2 linked regions of the Oryctolagus cuniculus genome follow. Each later gene encodes a partner of the first gene's protein in a complex. Links are inferred from orthologs where the notes say so. Each region holds a gene or a part of one and is shown on either strand. Other genes may lie near its edges.

What was found.
Region 2: the proteins of QTRT2 (region 1) and QTRT1 are in contact, whole or in part, in a crystal structure (PDB 7OVS), measured with the Mus musculus proteins. The link is inferred for Oryctolagus cuniculus from reciprocal best matches to the Homo sapiens genes QTRT2 and QTRT1. Residues at the interface, in NP_001343258.1 of Mus musculus: Arg39, Thr40, Gly41, Ser42, Ala43, Pro44, His45, Leu46, Thr47, His48, Gln49, Thr50, Asn53, Glu70, His71, Glu73, Val74, Glu77, Tyr78, Phe85, Ile86, Gly87, Phe119, Gln342, Glu343, Phe345, Tyr355, Asn359, His360, Ala363; in NP_068688.2 of Mus musculus: Thr50, Thr53, Met54, Lys55, Gly56, Ile57, Thr58, Thr59, Glu60, Gln61, Ser64, Arg80, Pro81, Leu85, Lys88, Ala89, Phe95, Met96, Asn97, Ala307, Lys308, Phe310, Pro320, Thr324, His325, Ala328, Phe329, Ala332, Leu333, His335.

Annotation. Positions count from the first base shown.
Region 1 is NC_091435.1:70,119,463-70,123,039, reverse strand, and holds part of QTRT2 (queuine tRNA-ribosyltransferase accessory subunit 2), read right to left. Parts: intron 1,428-3,577; coding exon 1,310-1,427; intron 1-1,309. UniProt on the Homo sapiens protein: Non-catalytic subunit of the queuine tRNA-ribosyltransferase (TGT) that catalyzes the base-exchange of a guanine (G) residue with queuine (Q) at position 34 (anticodon wobble position) in tRNAs with GU(N) anticodons (tRNA-Asp, -Asn, -His and -Tyr), resulting in the hypermodified nucleoside queuosine (7-(((4,5-cis-dihydroxy-2-cyclopenten-1-yl)amino)methyl)-7-deazaguanosine).
Region 2 is NC_091447.1:66,830,980-66,834,893, reverse strand, and holds the start of QTRT1 (queuine tRNA-ribosyltransferase catalytic subunit 1), read left to right. Parts: upstream 1-1,327; 5' UTR 1,328-1,366; coding exon 1,367-1,609; intron 1,610-1,748; coding exon 1,749-1,817; intron 1,818-1,903; coding exon 1,904-2,042; intron 2,043-3,914.

The sequences.
Region 1 (3,577 bases):
TGGAAAGGAACATAATGTTAGGAAAAAGTATTCTAGTGAATGACATTTCTTTCCCACTCACCACCAGAACTGTCAGAAGACATGGCATGACCTTCTTCTTATGTATATCTCTTTACAAAGCACTTTGATTTATACAATCTTACTGAGTCTCCATACCACTCTTAGAGACAGCCACTTGCATTGTCAATTTACAGATGAACCCACTATGGGGATTAAGAGGGAGGGTTCTTAAGCAACCCTGCCTACATTTGAATCCTGGCTCCACAATTCACTTGGGCAAGTGACTTCTTCCGTCTTTTGTTTCTCATCCATGAACCAAAGGTAATAATATTGCCAAACTCATAGAGCTGCTGTGGGAATTAAATGAATTAATACAGCAAAAGAGTCTGAATATTGTTGGCCACATTTATAAGCACTAAATAGGCATTATCTTTTAACAGCTATCAAGGAGAAGTTAAGTGCCTTGACCAAGGTCACACAGTCAAGAGTAGTGTTAGAATTTGTTTTCAAGTCTCCAAAACTTCAAGTCCAGTGCTATAAGTATACTACATTTTTAAATTGAATCTACAATGTAAAGAGAGTTTTAGTAATAAACATTTATATTGCCCTAATGATATAAAAGAAATTAATCTCCTTGGCTATTTTTTAATGTATAAGGAATTAAATGAGGTAGATACTACCATTTCAGTCCTACAGTTAAGAAGCCCAGATAGAATATGGGTAAGATATAGGATTTTCATACTCTCATAAATTCTCAAGTCTTCACAATAACTAGACAGACATATATAGGTCAGAATCTACAGAATGTCTCTTTATGGAAGTCGGAATGCATCCAGCACTCTAGTGAGGACACTACTCACTGGTTTACTGATGATCATCACTTTGGGCCAAATACAAAACTACAAGGTATTTTAGCTCATTCCTTATAGAGGCAAATGTTTTATTTAAATTTATAACCTGTATATAACCAAGATAACTTACAATTTAAAAACTTTGTTGTGTTTTATCTTGAAATCCTTCACTGTCATTATTTTAAGTAATCAGGAGAAAAAGACAATAAACAATGGATTTAATCTTTCTGATAGCTTTTCTAAAGTAACAGTTATCTTTGTTTTCTGAAAAGTACACAAATTAATCTGCAGAAAAAACTGAGTTTTCCTGGAACCAAATTTAAGAAGATCTAACTAATATCCAACTATAAATATTTTATGAAGTCATAAACTGAAAAGAGAACAGTTATATAAACTTTAAAAACAGGCTAAAATTTAAAAATCAAAAATGAAAATCTAAGCTTTAAAAAATTTCTTACTTTTTTTCCTTCAGATTAATTTCAAATGATGTCATTTCTTGGTTGCAACCACTTGTTTTAATTTTCTTTACTTGGTCCACATATTTTATGTCTTCTTGTATCCCATTCTGTTGTAATACTGAATAACAAACCAATAAAAAGTCTTGAATAAAGATCAGATAATGAACGGCCATTGTAAGAATTTTATTTTACTTATTATTTTATGCCCTTTGAGCCTATAATCCCACGACTGAGAATTTATCATAAAGAAGTCACAGAAGAAAAATAGCAACATGCTCCAAAATGAACACTTTTCTTTTATCGACATCAAAACAATTTAGATATTCAGCAATCCCTAAGCCAATTATGGTTACAAGTATGTAACACATAAACTTGCCATCAAGGAATGATTTAAAAATGGTGTGGCTGTGTGTTTGTGTACATGTGTGTGTGTTGAGGATAATCGTATACCTTAACCAAAGTACAGGTACATGACTATATTCCAAATAGATTTGAGTAGAACATGGGTGATTTTTTGGTTGTTTTTTAAGATCTATTTATTTTATTTGAAAGAGTTACGGGGGGTGGGGGGAGAGAATCTTCCATCCCCTGATTCACTGCCCAAATGGCCACAGGAGCCAGGAGTTTCATCTGGGTCTCCCATATGAGTGCAGGGGCCCACGACATGGCCATCTTCTGCTGCTTTACCAGGTGCATTACCAGAGAGCTGGATGGGAAGTGAAGCACCCAGGACTTGAACCTGCACCCAGATGGGATCCCAGTGTCACAGACAGCAGCTTAGCCTGCCATGCCACAATGTTGATCACAAACACAGTTTTAATTTATGTATTCTCTATGGAGACTCTGACCTTTCAGGAGACATAGACTACCCAGAATTAGATGGAAACTTTTAATTGCTCCTTTGAGCTTTTTGCTTTAAGAAAGCAAATGAGCTACAAAAGAAACACCAGCTACTCTACAAAAAGCCAGCTGCCTCGAACAGGGGCAAGTAGACATTATCCATTGGGGGAATGAATGATAATCTCATTGTAGGCAAACAAGAATGGACAGATGGTCCTAATAAGGCCTTAATAAGCCCAAAGGCAGAAGAGAAGTGACCTGAGCACAGAGCTATTATAATTTTGTTTCTATGAATTTGTGTACTGATGTAGAAAAACTTAATAAAGCCCTGACATTTTGAAAAACTCTTGCCATTTCAGGGAACAATCATATTTCTTTGAACTTTTCACTATATACTTGGCAAAGGACTTACACATAAACCCATATAGAAATACAATTAATAATATATTATAATATAGAAATATAATATATTATTATAAATTTTACATATATATATATAAAAACTCAGTGCCGAGTTAGAGTCCTGGCTGCTCCACTTCTAGTCTAGCTCCTTGCTCATAGCCTGGGAAAGCAGTGAAAGACGGCCCAAGTGCTTGGGCCCCTGCACCTACGTGGGAGACCCAGAAGAAGTTCCTGGCTCCTGGCTTTGGATTAGCCCCACTCCAGCCATTGCAGCCATTTAGGGGAATGAACCAGTAGATGGAAGAACTCTCTCTGTCTCTCCTTCTCGCTCTATAACTGCCTCTCAAATAAATAAATATTTTTTTAAAAGTTCAAACTATTTTAATTTTCCAAATTGTGAAGAAATTGGAATTTCTCTGGGCAATAAGGATCTGTTCAATATAGAGAACTCGGTAATCAAATGCTTTTCAGAGTTTTGCATATTCATGGTACTGAATGACTAATAATCCTCTCTGTCCTGGTGGGAATAATTTAGTTTGTAAGTGAAGTCATGAAAACTTACAGTGTAATGGTATACCCATCCACATATATTATGTTCTATCTAAAAGGACAATAAAGTTGATCCTCTTTATAGAAGAATTTGATCAACATGATTTGCTTCCAGAAGTAATCCAATTCAGATTAATGGTTAAGTTGTTTTACAGAAGTGTAACATCTCCTGAACAAAACTGCAGTCATTTGTGTGGAATAAAATGAACCTGTTAAAAAGTCTTGGGGGGAGAGGGACAGATACTTAGGATGCCTGCATCCCAGATCAAAGTGGGATGATCCTGATTTCAGCTTCCTGCTGATGTGCGCCCTGGGAGGCAGCAGGAGATGACTCAGGAACTTGTGGTCCCTGCTATTCACGTGAAAGAACTGGGTTGGGTTCTTAGTTCTTGGCTTCAGCCTGGTTCAGTCCTGGATATTGTGGGCATTCAGAAAGCAAACCAGCAGATGGGCAATCTCTCTATCTTCCTTGCAAAT
Region 2 (3,914 bases), on another chromosome or scaffold:
AGGAGCTTCTTCCGGCTCTCCCACACGGGTGCAGGGACTTGGGCCATCCCACACTGCTTTCCCAGGCCACAGCAGAGAGCTGGATGGGAAGAGGAGCAGCTGAGACTTGAACCGACACCCATATGCAATGCTGGCACTGTGGGTGGCAGCTTAACCTGCTACACCACAGCGCCAGCCCCTCTAGTCTTTTCAAAGCAGGGAGCAGGATAAAACTTTGGGGGAGAGCAGGCATTTAGTCGAGTGGTTGTCGCCACAGAAGACGTGGGTTTGATTCCTATCTCGGGCTCCTGGCTCCAGCTGCCTTGCCCACGCCCACCTTGGGAGGCAGTATCCAATGCTAGGGTCCCAGCCACCCACACGAGAGATCTGAAGTGGGTTATTGGCTCCCAGCTTTATCCTGGTCTGGTCCAACGCATTTCAGGCATCTGTGGAGTGAACGAGTGGACGGGACCATTCTCTCTGCCTCTCAAATATTTTTTAAAAACTTTTTGAAACTGCTGTTATATAGAGGGTTTTGAAATTATATAACATCAATCACAAGTGATATGACAGAGCGACAGAGGGTGGGATCTTCCTGTGCGGGGTTGGTTGGGGGTCTGAATCTTTGGAAGTGGGGCCGCCTGTGAGAAAGATGGCCCTCTAGGAGGAATTCAGCAAGGCTGAGTTGCCCACAGATCCACCAGCAAGTGCACAGGCCGCGCGGTGGGGCTCCCTGCGGAACGCGCCCAGGGCCCGAGGTTCCCAGAGGCAGTGCTCTGGGACAATGGCGCTCTCTGCTGGCCTCGACAGATACCAGCCCCACGTCAAAGCAAAACAAACGCACCGATTCTGCATCACAGACTCTCAGCGGAACACAGCCCAAGCTCCACATGGCGTCGTCCCAGGGTTGGCGGGCAGGTGCCCAACGGCGGGCACCGCACGGACGGACGCGCACGCGTGCGCGGGGGCCGGGCCCGCGTCTGGGAGTGCGTCTTCCACGGAAGACACGTGTTTCGTGGGCACTTCCATGCTCGTTCCGACCCCTCGGGAAGACAAAAGCCCGCGTAGAAATCCACGCATCCTCCCCGCTTCTCCTGTTGTCCTGACAACGCCCTGACGCTGCCAGAGCTGGCAGTCGCCCCACGTCCACGGGAGAAAATGACGGCTTTGATGGCAGAGCAGGCAGAGGATTCCGAGGCCACGCCTTGGCGGGCGGCGGGAGGAAGCGACGCGCGGGCCCCCCGCGGCGCCCCCGCGCGTAGGCGTCCGTTGCCATGGTCCCCGGGCGCTCTTCCGGGCCGTCGGCGTGCGTCTCTCGTCACGTGACCCGGACCAAGATGGCGCCGCCTACAGCATCGCAACGCTCACGTGTTTCCGGCCAGGCAACATGGCGGCCGCGGCCAGCCCGGCGTCCCTGGAGTCGGCTCCGCGGATCATGCGGCTGGTGGCCGAGTGCAGCCGCTCCAGGGCGCGGGCGGGCGAGCTGCGGCTGCCGCACGGGACGGTGGCCACTCCCGTGTTCATGCCGGTGGGCACGCAGGCCACTATGAAAGGCATCACCACGGAGCAGCTGGACGCCTTGGGCTGCCGGATCTGCCTGGGCAACACCTACCATCTGGGTCTGCGGCCGGTGGGTGCGCTCGGCCCCAGCGGGGTGGCGGCGGGACGCGGTGGGGTGGGGGGATCCCTCGGGTGGACCCCAGTCCCGGGCTCGCCTCCCGAGGGCGGTCACCCCGCTCACCCCGCACCTGCCACACTGTCCACCCCAGGGCCCCGAGCTGATCCAGAAAGCCCACGGCCTCCACGGCTTCATGAATTGGCCCCACAACCTGCTGACGGTGAGGGGGCGCAGGGGCGCTGGGCTGGGGAGAAGAGCCCCCTCCGCCCCCCGCTCCGTCTGACAGCCCTGCGCGGGCTCCCCCAGGACAGCGGCGGCTTCCAGATGGTGTCCCTGGTGTCCCTGTCCGAGGTGACGGAGGAGGGCGTCCGCTTCCGCTCGCCCTACGACGGCGATGAGACCCTTCTGAGTCCCGAGAGGTCCGTGGAGATCCAGAACGCGCTGGGTGAGGCGACCCCCGGGGAGCCGCTCCTTCCCTCCCTCTGTGGGGCAGGGGGGAGTCCAGGCCCGCCTTCCTCCTCCGGGATGGGTGCAGTGGGGGGTGTCTTCCATCCGCTGCATCACTCTCTAGATCCAGAAGGAAGCAGGGGCGAGGAGCTTCATCCGGGTCTCTTGTGTGGGTGGCAGGGGCCCAGATACTGGGGGGCCATCTTCTGCCGCTTTGCCCAGGTGCATTTGCAGGGAGCTGGATCCGAAGTGGAGCGGCTGGGACGCGAACCGGAGCCCGCGTGTGGGCTGCTGGTGTTGCAGGCTGTGGCACAGCACCCCTCCCCCCGCCCCCCTTTAGGGTTGTTGACAAGAATGAACGTGGAGCAGCTTGCAAATCCCCCATCCCGTCCCACATCAGAGGGCTTGTTCGTGTCCCCGCGGTGGCACGCCGGCGCCGGCGCCCTGCAGATCCGCCCGGTGAGGCAGCAGGGGACGGCCCACGTGGGAGACCCGGATGGAGCTCCTGGCGTCAGCCTGGCCCAGCCCTCGCTTTTGGGGAGTGACCAGCGCTGGTGGAAGATCTTTCTCTCCTGCTGTCTCTCCCTCTCTGCCATTCCACCATTTGAGTAAATAAGTGTGTAAGTCTTGAAGAACGACAAGAGCGAGCGGGGGAGTGTTCCGAACTCGCTCAGCGCAGTGCTGGCCTGCCGAGGCTGTTATTTATGATCACTGTTGCTGTCATTTCTCTAAATCATGAATTAAGGGGCCAGTGCTGTGGCTTAGCCGGTAAAGCTAAGCTGCCATCTTCATAGCCGGCATCCCATATGGGCACCGGTTCGAGTCCTGACTGCTCCACTTCCAGTCCAGCTCTCTGCTGTGGCCTGGGAAAGCAGTAGAAGATGGCCTAAGTGCTTGGGCCCCTGCACCTGCATGGGAGACCAGGAAGAAGCTCCTGGCTCCTGGCTTCAGCCTGACCCAGCGCTGGCCATTGTGGCTATCTGGAGAGTGAACCAGCGAGTGAAAGATCTCTGTCTCTCCTTTTTCCTCTGTAACTCTGCCTTTTGAGTAAATAAAATAATAAGTCTTAAAAAAGATAGACTTTGAGATTCAAAATGAAATTGAATGGAAAGTGTAGGGAGTTCCCATAAGCCACTGCTGCCTTCCCATCCCCCACCCCCCACAGCAGAGCACATCCCTGTCAAGGTGGTGCACCTGTCACCGTTGATGAAGTGCCTGTCACTCAGTGTCACCGCACATCCACTGAGTGCATCATGGGGGCAATAAACAGACGAGGGGGTCGGTGCTGTGGTGTAGTGGGCTAAGTCTCCACCTGCGGCACCAGCATCCCATATGGGCGCCGGTTCAGGTCCCGACTGCTCCACTTCTGATCCAGCTCTCTGCTGTGGCCTGGGAAAGGAGTAGAAGGTGGCCCAAGTCCTAGGGCTCCTGCACCCACGTGGGAGACCCGGATGGAGCTCCTGGCTCCTGGCTTCGGATCAGCTCAGCTCTGGCCATTGCGGCCATCTGGGGAGTGAACCAGCGGATGAAGACCTCTCTCTCTCTCTCTCTCTCTCTCTAACTCTGCCTCACAAATAAATAAATAAAATTTAAAAAAAAAAAAAAACAGTTGAGGGTGTGGACCCACCATTGTAGTTTTGTTGTTCTAGGTCTTAATTTGTTTTATTCTAAAAAGAAAAATTGGGGGAGCAGTTCCAGGTTTTCCTTTTGAAATAAGGATTTTCTGTCTCTCTCTGTCTCTGTCTCTCTGTCTCTATATCTCTCTCTCTGTCTCTGTATCTCTCTCTCTCTCTGTCTCTGTCTCTCTCTCTCGTTTTATTTAATGGAAAGGCAGAGAGAGGTCTTCCACCTGCTGGTTCACTCCCCAAAT